Linked DNA regions of Zea mays. The protein of the gene in region 1 interacts with the protein of each later gene in a pairwise test. Links are inferred from orthologs where the notes say so. Each region holds a gene or a part of one and is shown on either strand. Other genes may lie near its edges. The genes, in order: DNA topoisomerase 6 subunit A3-like and DNA topoisomerase 6 subunit B.

Region 1 (9,362 bases):
TGTCTTCTTCCATGGCACCCTGACATAGACGGTGTACTGCTCTCAGCCGGTGGGCTTTGTGGACCCGGCTCACCCCGACATGGTCTGCAAACTCAACTGGTCCCTCTACGGTCTCAAGCAGGCTCCTTGCGCCTAGTAAAGTCGCTTCATCACCTTCTTGCTCTCAAAGGGCTTTGTTGAGGCCAAGGCTGACACCTCCATGTTCGTCTTTCACCATGGCATGATACTGCCTACCTCCTCTACGTCAACGACATCGTCCTCACGGCCTCCTCCCTCGACCTCCTGCGGCACATCATCACCTCTCTTCAGCAGGAATTCTCCATGAAGGACCTGGGTAAGTTGGACCACATCCTGGGGATCACTGTTGAGCGTCAGCCCCAGGGCCTGTTCCTCCACCAGTGCCAGTACACTGTTGACATCCTCAAGCGAGCTGGCATGGCTGATTGTAATCCCTGCTCGACTCTGGTGGACACTCAGGGCAAGGTCTCCACCGACGCCCGCTCTCCGGTGGCTGATCCGACCAGTTATCAGAGTCTTGTCGGAGCATTGCAGTACCTTGTCTTCACCCATCTCGACATCGTCTATGCTGTCCAGCAGGTGTGCCTTCATATGCACGCCCGCAGGAGCCGCATCTCACCGCTACGAAGCGGATCCTTCGGTACCTCCAAGGCACCACCGACTTCGGCCTTCTTCTTCGCCGACCTACGACCACTGACCTCGTCGTCTACACCGACGCCGATTGGGGTGGTTGTCCCAATACTCGTCGGTCCACTTCCTGTTTCGTCGTTTTCCTTGGCGACAACCTCGTCTCCTGGTCTTCGAAGCGGTAGCCCATCGTCTCCCGCTCCAGCGCCGAGGCCGAGTATCGCGCAGTGGCTAGCGCCGTCGCCGAGGCGGCGTGGCTTTGTCAGCTGCTCTAGGAGCTACACAGTCCGCTGACGCGGAGCACCCTTGTCTATTGTGACAACGTCAGCGCCATGTACCTCTCCACCAACCTCGTCCAGCATCAGCACACGAAACATCTCGTGCTGGACCTCCACTTCGTTCGCGAGTGGATTGCTGTTGGAGACGTGCGGGTTTTTCACGTCCCGACCACTTCTCAATTTGCCGACATCTTCACCAAGGGCCTCCCTACGTCGGTGTTTGAGGAGTTTCGGTCCAGTCTCAACATCTCCCGTGGCTAGAGTTTCGATTGCGGGGGGTGTTAGTATCTGTGTATTCCTTGTAATGGGCTCTTGTGTAACGGGCTTAGGTCCATTGACTCTATCATAAATACAACACCCAAGTGGTTGATGTTGCTTTTACCATGACTTGGTGTGGCCGTATGCAAGCATATATACAACTCATGAAGGTAATCACAGACCTGGGACTGAAATTTACGTTCGGCAGGTAAAGCGTGTGTCCTACTTTTTGTTTGGAAACGAAATCAAGTACTGATTTAAGTTAGGGTATCACCTAGGCGATAAGGCACATCCAAATCACCATATGAGTATATGACGCTTTGCTGCCTTAAGAGCCGTGATTTGGGTGTTTCGTGATGAACTGTCCGATAATAAATAAGCTAAGTAAAAACGCACAGCTGGATCCTTTTCTTTATTTCTTTTTTGCATAAATGTGAAAAATAATTGTTCTCTTGATTTCCTGGTAGGTGTTTAAGTGTGTAAATCTGTGACGATGTGTTTTCTGATTCATACTTTCTAGTGCAAAACTCGAACTACTGTCCACTGTATGACAAATCTGGTGATTTACATTACAGAAGTGTATGCTGACCCTACTCACTCATCGTATGACGCTCTTGAATTTGCATTCGGGTTGTTCTCCACCTTTACGCCCGCGGTAACCCTTATACTGGACATAAATTTTGCATGCTGTGTAGTTTATGTTCCCCAACCCCAACGTATACATAAACGGTTCTTTCCATCATTTCATAGGCTGGCCTCAAGATAATACAGTTGTACAGGGAAGGATACAGGCAGGACTGGGAATTGTCATTCGAGAAGAACACCAGGACAAAAGGCGGATGGTATGTTTGCCTTCTGGCTTCGCCTTTTTGCTGTTGTAAACCCGAAATTCGAGTTGGCTGTTAGAGTTTTTGCAATTGTCTTTATAGCATTGATACATTGCATTTTCTCTAGGTATCAAGGGGGGTTAATTGTTGCAGGTCCAGGTATCGATAACATCCTGTACATCCACAAGGTCAGTGCCCCTTTTACGAAAACTTTGTACCGCTTGTTCTGATTATAAAGTACGTATATATAATCAATAGGGGCAAACCCCTTCTGTTCTCCCCATGAAAAAAGAATACTATCATACTATGACACTGTCACACTGAATGCAACTTCTCTTTTCTGGTATCTCTTTTAACAGGACAAAGAAGCCGGAGATGATCCTGACATGCAGGATGTGTTGAGAGCTTGCTGTTCCTAGAAAATCAGTGTGCCCCACGACCACACAGTCACTCTATATCTCGTTGTAAAAGTCAGGTTGTAATCAGCCCTCAATCTTCAGCGATCCTGTTCAGGATGCATGGGCTCTCTTTTTTCGTAACATACGACGCACGGGGAACCTTACGTTTATGTTTTGGTAGCAAGGGGGAAAGGATTGTAAGGGCTAGAATCCCCTTGCTATTTAATTCTGAGTAACAAGAGGATTTTAGCCCCTCAAATTCCTTTTATTTTTCTTGCTCCCAAACAAGCTCGTGCGTGTACATAACATATGTATGGTTCTGTATAGAAATCGATGAAGTTCTGAGTATCTGCTAGGAATAATATATAGGACGTACGAGACTCGTTGTTGTTGATGTTCTGCGAGACTCGTTGATGTTCTGTGTGTGTATACATGAGCATGTAGCCCGAGGCTCTTTTTTTTGCCCGACTGGGTTCGTGCCTGGGCCGGACCGCCACAATAAACGAGGCCATGCTTGGGCTATCCATAGTGCTTGCTGCGCGACCCGGCCCGCCAGAAAACAGCAGGCACGGGGCCGCCTCGGTGTCGGGGTGCAGGGCATAAGGCACACACGACATCCCCCTTCCCCTCGTCTCATCCCAGTGTCCCACTCCCACACGGCTTCTCCTGCTCCTCTCCCCACTCGATTCGTTTGTTCGTGGTCTGCCCGTCGCGCCGTCTTTGCCTCGCTGTTGTTGTCGCCACCATCGAAATTTCATCACCGGCGACATCGGCGGGTCTCCTACACTCCTTTTGTGCGGCTTGCCCCTCTCTGGCTCTCCCTCGGTCCCTCCCTAATCCAGAAATCCCTAACCCAAATCTCGTCGTCGTCGGTTATCGGCTCGTCAAGCGTCGTTGTGCACTAGATCCTTGTCTCCGGCTTTGAGCTCCGGCTAGGCAGGTACGTCCCTCTTCGGCTCTCCCTCTCCAATCGGCAATCCCTAACCCTAATCTCCTCTTCGCTGCTTGCTTGTGGGCTTTGGTAGGTCATCGGCCGACTACGTCGTGGTCGTGCTAGTGCCGCCAAGGCCGTTGAGGTACGGAGCCGAGAAGGGGGGCTACGTCGTGAATTCTGATCTAATTTGATATCACCCTTTGGCTTGTAATAAATTTGAACATTTGAATTATAAACTGAGTTGGTCGTACTTTTTTCCTTTCTAGGGTTTCTCACGAGGTATGAGTTTTACCTATAAAGGTTTTTAACGAGACAACATTGCATTAACAACTCAAATTTTGTGTATATTTTGTTCAAATTGTGTTGGATGTTGAAATTGTGCATGTTTTTGTTCAAATTGTGTTTTCGTGCTAGCTCGACACTCTATTTGGCTAGGGCTTTTCGGGCTGGCTTGACCCGAAAAAATGGTTCAAAGGGATGTGCCCACGCATGATTGTGCATGCTTGGCCCGATAGACCCGTGGGCCTGGTCATGTCGTGCCTTGGCATGAGCCCAGGTCGTATCGTGCCGAGCATGACTAGTTTGCTCATCTATAGTTTTGTGTCATTGCGGCCTTGAGCCCATAAGCTATTCGGCCCATTAGCTTAGCCCAGCCGAGACGCCGCGCGCGGCACAGCCCTCCTCCGGTACTCGGTCAGTCGGTCCTCCACACTCCTCACCAGTCACCACCAGACCAAATCGCAGCCGCGCTCGAGCTAAGCCCCGCCGCCGACGCCGTCATCTGCGCCCCAGAACCCCGTATTTCCCTCCGCCGCCTTCCGATCTCTCGCTCCTCCCCATGTCGGAGAAAAAGCGCCGCGCCGGTGCGAGCGCGGCCGGCGCCGCATCCAGCTCCAAGAAGCCGCGTGCTTCCTCGGCCGCGTCGTACGCCGAGTCCCTCCGCTCGAAGCTCCGCCCCGACGCCTCCATCCTGGCCACCCTCCGCTCCCTCGCTTCTGCCTCCGCTTCCAAATCCAAGGCCGCCGCCAGGTCCCTCGCGGACCACGACCCGTGCGCGGACCCCGCCTCCTCGTACATCGTGGTGGCCGACCAGGACTCCACCTCCGTCACCTCCCGCATCAACCGCCTCGTCCTTGCCGCCGCGCGCAGCATCCTCTCCGGCCGGGGCTTCTCCTTCGCGGTGCCCTCGCGCGCCGCCTCCAACCAGGTCTACCTCCCGGACCTCGACCGCATCGTGCTCGTCCGCCGCGAGTCCGCGCGCCCCTTCGCCAACGTCGCCACCGCGCGCAAGGCCACCATCACGGCGCGAGTCCTCTCCCTCGTCCACGCCGTCCTCGGCAGGGGCATCCACGTCACCAAGCGTGACCTCTTCTACACCGACGTCAAGCTCTTCGGCGACCAGACCCAGTCTGACGCCGTCCTCGACGACGTCTCCTGCATGCTCGGATGCACCAGGTCCTCGCTCCACGTCGTCGCCTCCGAGAAGGGCGTCGTCGTCGGCCGCCTCGTCTTCGCCGACGACGGGGACCGGATCGACTGCACGCGCATGGGCGTCGGCGGCAAGGCCATTCCGCCCAACGTCGACAGGGTCTCGGGCATCGAGAGCGACGCGCTCTTCATCCTCCTGGTGGAGAAGGACGCTGCATTCATGCGACTCGCCGAGGACAGGTTCTACAACCGCTTCCCCTGCATCATTCTGACGGCCAAGGGGCAGCCAGATGTCGCCACCCGGCTGTTCCTGCGGAGGCTCAAGGTTGAGCTGAAGCTGCCAGTGCTCGCGCTGGTGGATTCCGATCCATACGGGCTCAAGATCTTGTCGGTGTACATGTGTGGTTCCAAGAACATGTCGTATGACAGTGCCAATCTGACGACGCCGGACATCAAGTGGCTCGGTGTCCGGCCGAGCGACCTGGACAAGTACAGAGTGCCGGAGCAGTGCCGTCTCCCCATGACCGATCACGATATCAAGGTGGGGAAAGAGCTGCTCGAGGAGGACTTCGTGAAGCAGAATGAGGGCTGGGTGAAGGAGCTGGAGACGATGCTTCGCACCAAGCAAAAGGCTGAGATACAGGCCCTCAGTTCCTTCGGGTTCCAGTACCTCACTGAGGTCTACCTGCCTCTTAAGTTGCAGGAGCAGGATTGGATTTGAGAACTCTCCAATGCTAGGTACGAGATCTTTGGTCTTGTTCGCGTCACTTTGTTCATTGCTGCCCACGCTCGGCTTGATATGGTTATTAGTGCATTTCACCAAGTACACAGCACAACACAACACTTAGGCACCTTTCCTCATGAGTGAATTAGCAACACAGAGATCCAGATTGTTCAGTCAAATGTATCAGTTAACCAAGACTGTCATTATACCTGATATTGTGTTTGTACATGCAGATATCAGTAATTTCCCTAGCCAAGATAATGCCCTCCTCCGCTCAGTATTTTCAAGGACCAAATTGGCATGAATGAAGACTTCGCTATCTAGTTAATCACATGTATTTTTGAACACCAGCTGTTGTATTATTTATTTCTGCTGGAGAACTGTTCTGTGGAAAACATTGCTGCCAGATATGTGCTGGAATTTGATACATAACACAGGTGATTTAAATTGGTTCGGCCTCTTATCTGGTCGAACTTTGGTTGTTCTGTGTCCTATATTTCTGTAGGGCTTATTAGTTCCGTGTTTGACATGGAAATGGGATAACCCGGATTGAATGAAAATGTACTGGAAATTGATATATAGCAGTATGAAAATCCATGCATGATGTCTTTAGAAACATGACAATTAAATTCAATTACCCTGTTTTCATATGTACACCCAATCCTAGAATAACTGTACCAATTTATTGTATAGTAAATGGACCAAAAGGCTATTGTAAGAAAATGTCACACTGCAATCCTTGCGGCTTTCTTCTTCAACCAATGGTTCAGTGAGTTAATAGGGATTTTTATCATTCCCTGTGGTCTCCTAGTGAATTCTTTGGATATTTGCTCTAAATTACCTCTAGATTTTGTTGGTGCTTTGGATTTTGATGAAACAGGAGGGCGGCTTCCAGGTTCAATCAAAACTAATTTCAACTTCAGCTCTTGCCTGCACGACATCAACTGCACTAGTTTCAGTAATTATTGCCTGCACGATGTCAACTGCAGTAGTTTCAGCTTCAGCTCTTGATGTCTTCTCATGATCCGTGATGATAATACGAAGTGGCAGCTCAACATGACCTAGGAGGTATTGCTCTTTGATCTTCCGAAGAACAGATAGAACAATTCGAGCTTCAACCTGCAGAATACATGGTATTATGGATTACGGTAAGCACAAAAAACATAGTGATGGTTTCTGTAAATATCGCTATTCAAAATCAGTCATTATGTTCATGTAGCAGATCATCTGCATATCATATAGCTTGAATTAGTTGGATGTCATTTATTACCTTTTGGAAGGCCACAAACATCGACAATTTGGTTCTGATCAGCATCTTTTTGCAAGACTTACGACTTTCTCAAGAAACAGGTTGAAAGATTCTTTCCTGTTAGGTTGTAGATCCAAATTGTAAAAATCTTGATTATCACTGCCATTAGACAACTCGTCACGCAATTCCACTATTAAAATTCCTTGAGATAATGATCATTTGTCTGATACCTGGAGTGGGAAATCTTTTAAAATTCAAAAACAAAGGGAAATCCTAGTCATTCTCACAATGTCAGTCTATCAGAAAATAGGCTGTCAGTATGTTTCCTACAATGGAACAGTGGAATTAGAAGCGGTAGATACCTCATGAGATAACAACTAAAGCTTCAGTGGATTACATGCTCTGGTGATACCTGTCTGTTGTCAAAATAATTGTAGTCTGAAGCACTTCTAGTTTTCCATTATCTATGGTGTATTCCATGAATTTTACATTGGGACATTTGTATCAGATAAACACTTGTTTATTTAATACAATCACGAGTTACTGCAAAGCAGCAATCTTATAATATGGAACGAGTAGAGCTGTTGAGTCAAAAGCACTTGTTCTGACTTAAAAGGTATAAAAGAAACAATTCTTCTAGCCACATACCCTTCTTTCCTCATTTCCTGGTATATTGTGCTAAACACTGCTGGGCCTCCTGTGGGGATCCATAATTGTTGCTTGTACGTCACCTGAAAATGAACTATTGTGTCATATGCTATTTTTTTTACTCGAACGTGCAGGAAAGACGGTCCAACAATATGCAGAACAGAGCAATTTATATAGATCGAATTTTTGCAGGTTGTATAGAGCAAACCGTTTGACCATGCCAAGTATCATATCATACCGTTTGTTGAGCCCAAAAACGGGCAGGCCGACGGTCCGGCCCTATAGGTCGGACCATCCGCGGTGACGGCGCGACCAGTCCGTGTGTGCAAAGAATTAGTTAGGGTTTCGATATTCTAGCGGAATTTGTTGGCAAAACATACGAGATTAACTTGGAAACCGACTTGTAAAAGATTTAGAACTCCTTCCTTTATATAGATAAAAGGCTAGGACTGATTGAACCCCCACAATCAATACAATTAACTCTACTTATCGTTTTACCTTATGCATTAGTGGTGGCTCTAGTTTAGCCCTATTTTAGCCTCTCTCTCTACCTCAAAATCTTCACCTCTCTTTGGCTCTACGTCGATTAGAGATGTTTTGGGTGGCCTGTCGACGCCAAGACACACTCTAGGTTCTCTTCTCCCCGACGGGATCCCTCTCCCGGGATGCGAGATCAAGGTCTGCTGCGAAGATGATGACGCTATGCGCCATCGCGGATCGTTCGAACCTCAGGAGCAGATTGTCCGGACGTACGCAGAGGAGGAGCCGCTCTTGCGCCAGGTCGCGGACCGTCTGACCCTGTGCCGCAGACCGTCTGTGCCTCCGCAGAGAGCACCGCCAGGTGGTTCGTTCCAATGTTTGTCGCCTAGATCGGCGCCGACACACTTTTTGGCGACTTCGCTGGGGAACAAGTGTCAAGAACTACTAAAAATCAGGCTCTCAAATGGCCGGTTCTAAAGATCACACCGATATCTCCCTAGACAATGCCCTGAAACCAGCTGTTGAAAGTCTGATGCCCGATAAGAAACAACAATACGAGGACTACATGCGTCAAGCAAAGGAGAAAATTCTTGTCACAATACACGGTGGATCGCCACCAGAAGGTTGTTAAACATGGAGAGACTGATGTCGCATCTTTTCTATCTTCGCTTCAAGTCCCCAACGTAAGTGAAAGGATCACGATGCCTAAGTGGGGGCGTGAATTGAGCTTTTCTAAAATTTTAACAAAAGATTAAACCCTAAGCATGAGCCCAACTTCATCCAAACTACTATCATGAAGTAAAAGCTATGAAATAGAGAACGACCTTAAGTCATTATTGTAAATACTAGCTAAGCAAAAATAAACAAAGTAAAATGCTCAAAGTAAATGCGGAAAGTAAAGTTTGGACAAGAAGATTCCTCCAATTTTTCCCGAGGTATCAAAGAGTCAACACTCTACACTAGTTCTTGTTGGAGCACTCGCGCAAGGTTATCGCTTCCCCTTAGTCCTCGCAAAAACCAAGTGTTCAATATAAGATAATCTTTTGCCTCTCTTGCGTGGTGGATCCCTCACGATTGCGTACAATCGTCGAGTCAGGTCACCAACAAATCCTGTAGGGTGATCACCGAACTCCAATCGCCATCAAGCTGCCTAGGTGATGCCGATCACCAAGAGTAATAAGACATAGACCTTCACTTGACCAAGAGAAGCCTAATGCATGTGGTGTGTGCTCTAGGTGGCTCTCATGCGCACTAATGAGGTCCTAACAAGAGATTATGATTTTGCTAATCACCTCACTATGCTTTGTGGGCTTGCAATGCTCTAGCAATGAATACAAGGTGGATGGGACAACAAAACATTTAATATGACTGGTGTAGGGGGTATAAATACACCCACCCTCCAAAACTAGCCGTTACAACAGACTGCTACGCATGCGCGCATTGGACAGTCCGGTGCGCCATCGATGCACTTCCAACGACAAGTTCTGATAACT
Region 2 (9,739 bases), on another chromosome or scaffold:
TGGATTCAAGCACATGAATTGATGTTATGTCCTTCTTTAGGCTTGAATACATGTCAATAATGCACAAGTCACATTGTTTTTGAGTTGTGTTAAATGATCAGGATGGGAATGGAGACAAAGTGGTCACCCTGCTTGGTCGGACAACCTAGTTGTCGGCGACGTGGCTTTGGCCAGGCGACCACCATTCTTTCTCCATTGTCGATTCTTGTAATTTGGTGGTGTCATGCATAAAATTATCATACACAACTCGTGGAACCTATTAGATAACACAAATTTGGTCCCATAGAACTCCTTAAACACAAAATGTTGGTGGTCACAACACGTTTTTATGTCCACCATAAATAAGATGGTCGCTTTCAGACAATTTATGTCGTTTAGATGCTAGATTCATAGATTTCTTATATGGTCATGTTGAAGCCTATAAAGACAATTTATGACTTAGGACAATTTGTTTTATCATCATTGTTGAAGCCTATAAAGAGTCATGTTACTATATGCGGTGATATTCATGGACAATTTCATGATCTTGTTGAACTCTTTCCGAACTGGTGGAAATGTACCTCATTATTTTCTGTTCGTTTGCTTCTGTCACTTCTTTGATTTAATAAAGAAAACATGAGTATTCCAATATTTCGAAACTTCCACTTTTACCATTGTCCAAATACAAACTACCTGTTTATGGGAGATTATGTTGATCATGGTTACTACTATGTCAAAATTATCACTGTGAGTGTAACTCACATGGCTTTATGTTATCACCATCAACATATTCATCTACCCATAGTGGTCATGGGCAGTATAGATGTGCAGTGGGCACTCTATTGAAAAGCATATCATATTTGCCTTTTGTTGTTCCTACTTCAAATCTCTAAATTGCAGAACTTCACTAATTATTGGCACTAATTTCATACACCACAAACAAACAACTTTTGGTGGCTTTAAAAGTTCGATGTCATAAGAGGACCACCATTTTCAGAGGAAACCATGAAAGCCGACATGTATACAATTTTTTGTTTGACAAATTGTTCATGTTTCGCAGCGTACCTCACACCTCCCGTCATGGAGTCGATCATCCTCCGCCTTCTGTCCTATGGCCACACGCTCGACTTCTTCCACCACTCATACTATCCCCTCAATGCCATGGCGTCACTCCTGCCACCACACTAACATGTGTACCTCGACCACCTCGCCACAGATGTGCTCGCCTCTCACTGCTCCATGACGTACGACGTATTGGGTTCCTCCTTCGCCGCCTTGGCACTACTCGCGCCTTCTATACATTGTTGTCCATGTCTTTGATGCAGCGACTACGACGCTTAGCTACGCCCCAAACTTATACATGTACAACTGCCTCCTCGAAACGCTCGCCAAGGTCGGCCGCACGAAAGGCGCCTAGACATAGTTGTAGGAGATGGTGGCGAGGTGCAGTGATGAGAGGGTAGATAACTAGATAAATCGTGCGCGTGTCGTCCTAAAGAGCGTGCGCTATGTTACAGAGAATGAGTGAGAGGGCACGTGTTGACGATGCTTATTGTGTCGTTCAACAAGTGGGGAAACATGGAGGATGTAGTTGAGTTGCTTAGGGGGATGGAGGCACTTGACATGTGACAAGCGAGAACACATTGAGCGTTTTGATACCTAGATTTGCTAGGCAGCGGAGGGTTGATGTGGCATGGATATGTTTGGTAAGATGGCCAGTTATTGATTCAGTCTGGATTTGGTGATGTATAATGTGTTAATTGAGGGACCATGTCATGGAAATGAGATGAGGAAGGCTGTGAAATTGCTCAAGTATATGAAGAGGGATAGGGTTACACCTGATGTTCGCTTGCTCAAGATGATAATAGAAGCATTCTGTAGGTTAGGAGATTTCTCTACTGTTGGCCCATTCATTAATGAAAATGTAGCGTATTTGAAACCCAACAATGTTGTTCTATTGTATAATAATGTGATTCTTGAAGGTCTTATTAACCATGGAGAGGTAGAAGCAGCATGTCAGTTACTCAACTCCATGGTGCATGGTGGTCAGAGGGTTAGTGATGACGATACTGTTGGTGTGCATATTTTTATTATCAATGAAGAAGTTGAACCAAACTTTGATTTGTTTAATATTGTTGTGTCTGGCCTTTGTGAGACTAGATCTAGCTTTGGCTCTCACAAAAACATGGTTGGCCTTGGTTGCAAGGGAAAGTTTTTGGTGTTTAATGATTTGATACTTGAATTGTGCAATTTGGATAAACCAGAAGCGAAGGATCTTGCGAGTAATACACAAAAAAGATAGAATATAACTCTCCATTCAAATGGATTGCTAGAGTCACTTGGGCGTGTTTGGCATGGTTCTGTTCCACTTCAGAGTAGCTCTACTCTAAAACTCTGGGTGGAGCAGCTCCGCTCTAGAGTTTAAATTGTTTCTCATAACCAGTGACAGTTAAATAACTCTAAACTCCACGTCTAGGTTGTTTTTAGAGTTTTCGGAGCAGCAAAGCAGGTACTCCAAAAATTTGTACTACAACTCTGAAAATTCCATTGAGTTTGTAACCCTGGAGTTAGAGTGAACTTCTTCTTAGAGTTCTACTCCGGAGCCATGCCAAACACGCACTTAGTCGTCCCAACACATTGATATATACTTTCACCTAAAATTTAGGGGGTGTTTTTTTTGGATTACAATCTATCCAGATTATATAATCCGACAAATTAAACAAAAATGATCTCGGTAGACTATAATCCCAAAAAATACCCCCTTTAGAGCAATAATTCTCTAAAACTAAATCAATAATTTAGGTAGTTAATATAAAAACTCTTCTCCAACAGTTCTCTAAACGAGTTTTATAAATTTAGCAGTTCTTATCTAACCTCATTTTCTCTCTATATTTGACAACTATTTAGCAACTCACTAAACAAAAATGTTGACTGCATTATGTAGTTAATGGAGATGATTGTTCACATTTGTGTCTTATTTTTTATGTGGATAGATACAAAAAAACTTCAAATTATATTTAGAAAACTACTAGAGAACTCATAATTCTTTACTCCTAAAGTTATTTAATAACTTATTAAATCTATGATTTAGATAGCTAAATTTATATAATTATTGGAGCTGCTCCTAGCTGGATAAAATTCCGTTAGGTGGAACCATTAGTTTGGAAACATCATTTTTCTCTCAAGAAGATGTTTTCACCCTAAACGGGCAAAAACCAGTTTTCGTAAAAGTCGGCGTTGTTGATTGATTATTACTTAAAAAATGCCATTTTTTCAACCATGATTTATGTCGAGTGTCTAATTTCTTATGGACCATTTCGATACATCTGGTACGATAGTCCGCCCAAAGTCCCAAACGGACCCACATTTGGCTCAGACTTTTGAGAGATCGCGCTCTCCAATTTTGCACCCGAACCCTAGCTACCGTCTCAATTAGATCCGACCTCGCCATGAACACCTCCGACGACGAGGCCATTGCCGCCGCTGCCGAGACCAAGAAGAAGACTCCCAAGGCGGCGGCGGCCAAGGGGAAGGCAACGGGGAAGGGGAAGGCGGCCGCCGGCCCCAAGACGTCGGCCAAGGAGAGCAGCCTCCTTAAGCAGAGTGAGCTCCCTCCCCGATCCCATTTCTCATTAAGATTTTCAGTACTTTGGGTCGGTTTATCTTATACATTTTGTATCTTTTCTGGGTGTTCTGCTGCAGAATCGCCCGCCGAATTCTTCGCTGAGAACAAGAACATTGCCGGGTTTGACAATGTGAGTTGTTCTCTAAGGACTTTTAGCCGATTTGGGTGCAACAGCTAGATTTCGTGCGTTTGCGAAATTTAGCTAGAATCAGTGTGGAGATGCCCTGTTATCTTGTCGACAGATAATTTCACTTCTTTATTTTCCTTCTGGTTCAAGCACATTCTTATCTATAGATTAAACTTAGACCACATCTGGCAGTGGGAAACAAACAAAAACTATGATTAAAGGATATTACTCATTCTAGTTGTAGTACACTTTTGAGGAGGAAATTTATAAGATACTATCGTAGTCATTATTTCACAGAGATACTGATGTAATGGTGCTGGTCAGCCTGGTAAATCCCTGTACACCACGTTGCGGGAGCTAGTTGAGAATGCCCTTGATTCCGCCGAATCCATATCGGAGCTCCCTGAAATAGAGATTACAATGTAAGTAATCCCCAAATGTATTCTTTGTGGTCTTTTGCTATGTTGCCGTACGGGACAGTGCCCATAAGTTTGTTTTGCCATATCTTTGTCAGAGAAGAGATCACGAAGACCAAGTTCAACACAATGATTGGGCTAGTGGATCGACAGCGTGTTGACGAGGCACTATATGATGATTTTGAGTCAGAAAAGGCTCGTGAGGTAAGATGAGCACCTAGGTTTGTAGTAGTTTGACCATGGATGATGTGTTGAGAGGGGTGAGACTTCACAAACTTACCTCTTTGTATTATCATAATTTTAAGTCTGATGAAGCTGTATGATTCACAATACTTAGAAACGCCTAGCCAAGGAAGCACGTTTCCAAGAATCTCAGGCTAAAAATGCTGCACTTGGGAAGAAAGTTAAGGATGCTCCATCTGTTCGAGGAAAAGGTCGGGGTGAGGCTGCATTTTTCAAAGTGACTTGCAAGGTATTGTTGTGACAATGTGATTTATGATATACCCGATGAGAATATATTTTCTTAACTTTGATCTTTATTATTCCCCCCTTACGGATGCAGGATAATGGTAGAGGTATGCCACATGATGATATCCCAAATATGCTTGGGAGAGGTAAGTTTTTAATGGTATATTTAATCCGTAATTGCTGAATTCAAACAGTTTGGTCCTTTCTTACTTGGAGAGGAGATAGTACCACGATGTCCAATATCATTGGAGTTATTTACATTGGTGCAGTTTTGTCGGGCACAAAGTATGGTTTGAGGCAAACACGTGGGAAATTTGGACTCGGTGCTAAAATGGTAATTTTTTTTTGCGTACACAATTGAGAAGAAGCTTTCTAAATTGTATGTTGCTGTGGACTATTGTTTTGTATCTTTTTGATAGTTAAGAATGAATGCAAACAGTTAGTTGATTCTGCATTGTCATGAAATGTTGAAGTTGTTTCCTTTCTATTCCTTGGGAATGACTGTCTTTGTGTTTGCAACTTTGCATTAGATTGTGCAAGTGTGCAACCAAGCAATACTCGTCTTATGCTGTTTGTCATGGTACTTTTATTTCATTTTCTACATAGCCATGTAAAACTTTCATCATAACTAAAGTAAAATGTTACAATCATAATAGCAATTTGTTTGCAGTTGGCATAATCATCCTTTTCTTTCACTTTGACTATACCTTTAAGTGTGTAGTGGGATCCTAGGGCATGATAATAATGCGAAGAGAGGCATGAAAAAACCGAAGTTGACATGGGAAGAGACAGTAAAAGGAGACTTGAAAGGATGGATTATACCTAATGATTTAGCCTTGAATAGGAGCAAATGAAAAACAACTATCCACGTGCACGAACCTTGATTTGTGGCTTCTGCTGGGTTTTTAACTCTAGCCTACCCCAATTTGCTTAGGACTAAAATACTTTGCTGTTGTTGTTGATTATACCTTTAAGTGATTTATTATTACTTTGCCCTCTTGTTTGTTATTTCAAATTTGATGGTATTCTTTTGCTTAATCTATCCCATGCCTAAGAGATGCTCACCGTGTTTTGCCTCTGTAAAATAGCTTAATACAATAAACATGTGACCTATGATATTCTCATGGATTATTATTATTTTAGTGGCTCTAATGTTCTGTTTATCTTATAATTGTGGATTAGAACAGGCACTTATATGGTCAAAGATGAGTACAGGGCTTCCTATTGAAATTAAATCATCGATGAAAGGCCAGAACTATACTTCCTTCTGTCGCCTGGACATAGATATTCATAAGTAAGTACAGCTTGTTGGTTTGTGTGTCTGTTCAACACATGTACTGACTTAATATTGCTATTTATCTCTATTTATGTCCATGCTTATCAAGGCGTCCATTAAGCGTCGCCTTAGCGTCGCTTTAGCGCTAAGGCGCGCTCATAGGGCAAGACGTCTTGCTCGCCTTGCGCCGGGGAGTAAGGCGTCCGCCGCGGCATAAGGCGCCGGCGGGGCGTCAGCAGGGTGTTCTCGGGGCGTCAGCGGGGCGACGCTTAGGGGATAGGTAGGGTTTTGAAGGGCGACAGCTGGAAACAGAGAAGAGGGTTTGACCTGTGTCTGTGTGGCAGCTGCAGCTGCTGCCTCCTTCCTCGTCGGCGCGCAGTGCTCCGGCTATCGGAGGTGGGAGACTGCGGTGGAAGAACCGAGGGAGAGAGAGAGAGGAGAGCTGTGGGGGAGGGAGAGAGGGGACTGAAGAGAGATGCAGTGTGAGGGAGAGATAGAGGCTGGCATCTGTGACCTAAAACTGTGTTTTGGGCTGAGCTGGGCCGAGTTGGGCCGGACTCACTTGTTGTGAGGTTCTTTCTTTCCTTTTTTTTCTGCTTCTACTAGACTGAAATTGGACATATTAGACCTTATAAAAGTGCTAGCTTGCTTATTAACTTTAAATTAGTGATATATAAATAATGTTTGATCTCATTTTTTTTATATTTATCTATCTATATAACTAAGGCGTCACCTCGCCTTATGCTTTATCGCTTAAAAGATAAAAAGGGGGTCGGTCGCCTTATGTCGCCTTACCGCCTTAATAACTATGTTTATGTCAATTCGGTAACTTGTGCAGTTTACCATGACCCATTTTGGTGTATTCCATTTTTCAGAAATATCCCTCATGTCCATTTACATGAGAAAAGAGAGAACAAAACTCATTGGCATGGGGCAGAGATTGAAGTTATAATTGAGGGAAATTGGACAACTCATCGTGTGAGTAGCATGTTTTGGAACATTTGAAACAAGGAATTATTCTGTAAAGCTAAACATGTGATCTCTTTCATGCAGTCAAAGATCCTCCATTATATGCGTCAGATGGCAGTCATCACACCATATGCTCAGTTCCTTTTTAAATTTCTATCTGATGCGGCAGAGTAAGCATTTTGTTTATGGTTATCTATGTTGTGCAAAAGCTGTTGATATTTTTTTCATGAATGAAAATTTGTTTTCTGCAGCAAAAACTTAACAATAAAGTTTACACGCCGGACAGACGTTATGCCTCCTGTTCCACTTCAAACAAAGCATCACCCATCTGCGGTTGATTTGTTACTGATAAAACGCTTAGTTGCAGAGACTACAAAGCAAAATCTTTTACAGTTTCTACAACATGAGTTTGTGAACATAAGCAAACCGCATGCTGAACGTTTAATTGGTGAGTTTTATGATATGCATTATGGCTGACCTGGTTATCATAAACTAAAAAAATAACTAAATCAGTATAGTTTCTATCTGTTTTCAACACATCATGGACTACTTAGTCCAATTTTCCAGAATAGAACCTTTTTGGTGATCGTGAAGTTTCAATTGTTTATAATGTTGCTTTTCAAAGTATTCTACTCTCCACTAAAATCATTTACAACTCCTATTATAATCTATTTTGACTAAAAATGTAGTTGTATTGTTGTTATGTACTTTTATATTACTCTATTTCTAGGCTTTACTGTTCTTGTTACCAGTTCTATGTTTTAATATAACATATTTTTGATTTGGCAGGGGAGATGGGACCTGATTTCAGTCAAAAAATGGCAGTTAAGAGCCTTACTTCTCAGCAATTAGTTCGAATACATCAATTATTTAGGCAGGCTAAGTTCGATGATCCCAGCGGCAATGTATGCACTCCCTTCAACCTTTATTTGTCAGTTATTCATTGGTTGCTTTCATATGTGTAACTGGTCATTGTGGTATCGAAATCAACCAATTCTATAGTGTCTTAGTCCTGCGGGTGAATATAATTTACGCCTGGGTATCATAAAAGAGTTGCACCCTGATATGGTTGCGACACATGCAAGCAGGTATACCATTTTATTCAGACTGAATTCCAGAAGGCATTCCAATACTGCATATTTGAACAAACTAATAACATAATGTGGTCCTCTATTCAGCCCTCAGGTTTTTGAAGGTCACCCATTTATTGTTGAAGCTGGGATAAGCATTGGTGGAAAAGATGTTAAACAAGTAAATACTTAACTTTTCACTCTCTACAGCAACAACTATGCTTCTATTTTATTGTGTTAAAAAAGATTGTATAAACATGTATTTTGTTAGTCCTTTGTGGTTCCAGCAATTTTCGATGCTAGGCAAATAGCCCCTCAAACAGATCAGCAAGAACTCTCATACACAAACGAACTTAGCGGGTTTGGTGGCTGGAGTTACTTACCTCCTATACATATGTCTCTACCTCTCTCTCTCTCTCTCTCTCTCTATATATATATATATATATATATATATATATATATATATATATATATATATATATATATATACCAACACTATTTGTCACCTAGGTTGAAGCTTCATCCACTCAAGTAATTTTCGGTAATTACTAAACATTAGTCAATAATTACCGGATAATTACTGACTATCGTTTAGTAATTACCGAAAATTACTGAGTGAGTGAAGTTTCACTCTAGGTGTCAAATAGCATATATATATGGCATTATGGCAACATATCAGGTGCAATCCAATTTTCCATGCAAACCAAGTAATCAACTAACAAAAGTCACAAAAAATTCTCAAAAAAATTATAGATGTACTTCATTGCCTATTCTACCACTGTGTAAAATTTTAGGTTCAAATTCATCATAAGTTAAGAGATAAAAAGAGAATTTTTTTGAGACACAAAAAAGTGCAAATTATCTCAGAATTCTTTTTTTGTATCCTTTAATATATGACGAAATTGAAATTGAAATTTTATACAGTGGTAGAGTGGGCAAAGAAGTACATCCATATTTTTTGTAACTTTTGTTAGTTAGTTTGCACAGAAGTACTAGTGTGCACCTGATACATTGCATATATACTAGTCGGTTGCCCGTGCGTTGCGACTGCTCACAACAATACCCACATAAACTATCCACCAAAAAGATCTCAAGATTTTTTATTGATTGTCTCCGCTCTCCGCATAATATTTTTTATGAACGCACGAGTACTATAGGCAGCAAATCAAGGACCCCATCCCTCGCCTCCCCCACTTCCAAGGTTTCGTAGAGCAGGAAGGGAAGGGAAGAGACGAGCATACCTGTTCGTTGCCGGAGAAGGACACGATGAAGACCTGGACATTTGGAGGCGACATAGGTAGTATACCACTAGATACATATAGGGAGAGAGCACGCAAGCAGAGAAAGAAGTCCAACCGGAGCAACTCCAAACCAAGAGGCACCCACACCAGGCGTCAGTCTGAGAAGGGCGAGAAAATGCGAGTGCCTTTATAGCCCTGGACCCGCCGAGGCGACACAACGTCACCACCAACTCCGTAGCATATGCCGACTGCTGTCGCGCTACGGGCCTTTGGTTGTCCAATATCTCAGACCTGGACTCCTCATCGCCAAGGTAACCTAAGCGTGGCAGGCGCCACCGTGTCCTCGGCGGCACGCACGAAGAAAGGTCAGGAGCAAGACCGACTCGCCCCGTACCCCCGTTGACGAGCGTCGGTCGGCTCGCGGCTGCGACCGGGGCGGGGCAGCAGGTTGGGGAGGAAGAACAGGGCGAAGGTTGGGAAGACGAACGGGACGTCCGACGACGGCGAAAACGATGGTGCGTGCATGCTGCGAAACATCCTCGTGGACGTGCGTCGGGGCTGGTGTCGA

The links.
Region 2: the proteins of DNA topoisomerase 6 subunit A3-like (region 1) and DNA topoisomerase 6 subunit B interact in binary tests that used the Arabidopsis thaliana proteins (3 or more experiments, as listed by UniProt). The link is inferred for Zea mays from reciprocal best matches to the Arabidopsis thaliana genes RHL2 and TOP6B.

The regions. Positions count from the first base shown.
Region 1 is NC_050096.1:43,344,942-43,354,303, forward strand, and holds DNA topoisomerase 6 subunit A3-like, read left to right. Parts: upstream 1-4,073; 5' UTR 4,074-4,178; coding exon 4,179-5,489; 3' UTR 5,490-5,506; intron 5,507-5,725; 3' UTR 5,726-6,141; downstream 6,142-9,362. Other genes in the region: Thioredoxin-like protein AAED1, chloroplastic, read left to right, coding at 1,757-1,836, 1,932-2,023, 2,136-2,196, 2,368-2,427. UniProt on the Arabidopsis thaliana protein: Component of the DNA topoisomerase VI involved in chromatin organization and progression of endoreduplication cycles. Relaxes both positive and negative superturns and exhibits a strong decatenase activity. Involved in cell-elongation processes.
Region 2 is NC_050102.1:81,025,284-81,035,022, forward strand, and holds the start of DNA topoisomerase 6 subunit B, read left to right. Parts: upstream 1-3,275; 5' UTR 3,276-3,428; coding exon 3,429-3,582; intron 3,583-3,681; coding exon 3,682-3,734; intron 3,735-4,028; exon of another isoform or gene 4,029-4,055; coding exon 4,056-4,153; intron 4,154-4,245; coding exon 4,246-4,351; intron 4,352-4,484; coding exon 4,485-4,619; intron 4,620-4,709; coding exon 4,710-4,761; intron 4,762-4,884; coding exon 4,885-4,949; intron 4,950-5,802; coding exon 5,803-5,909; intron 5,910-6,766; coding exon 6,767-6,869; intron 6,870-6,944; coding exon 6,945-7,030; intron 7,031-7,111; coding exon 7,112-7,308; intron 7,309-7,649; coding exon 7,650-7,765; intron 7,766-7,862; coding exon 7,863-7,948; intron 7,949-8,038; coding exon 8,039-8,111; intron 8,112-9,739. UniProt on the Arabidopsis thaliana protein: Component of the DNA topoisomerase VI involved in chromatin organization and progression of endoreduplication cycles. Relaxes both positive and negative superturns and exhibits a strong decatenase activity. The B subunit binds ATP.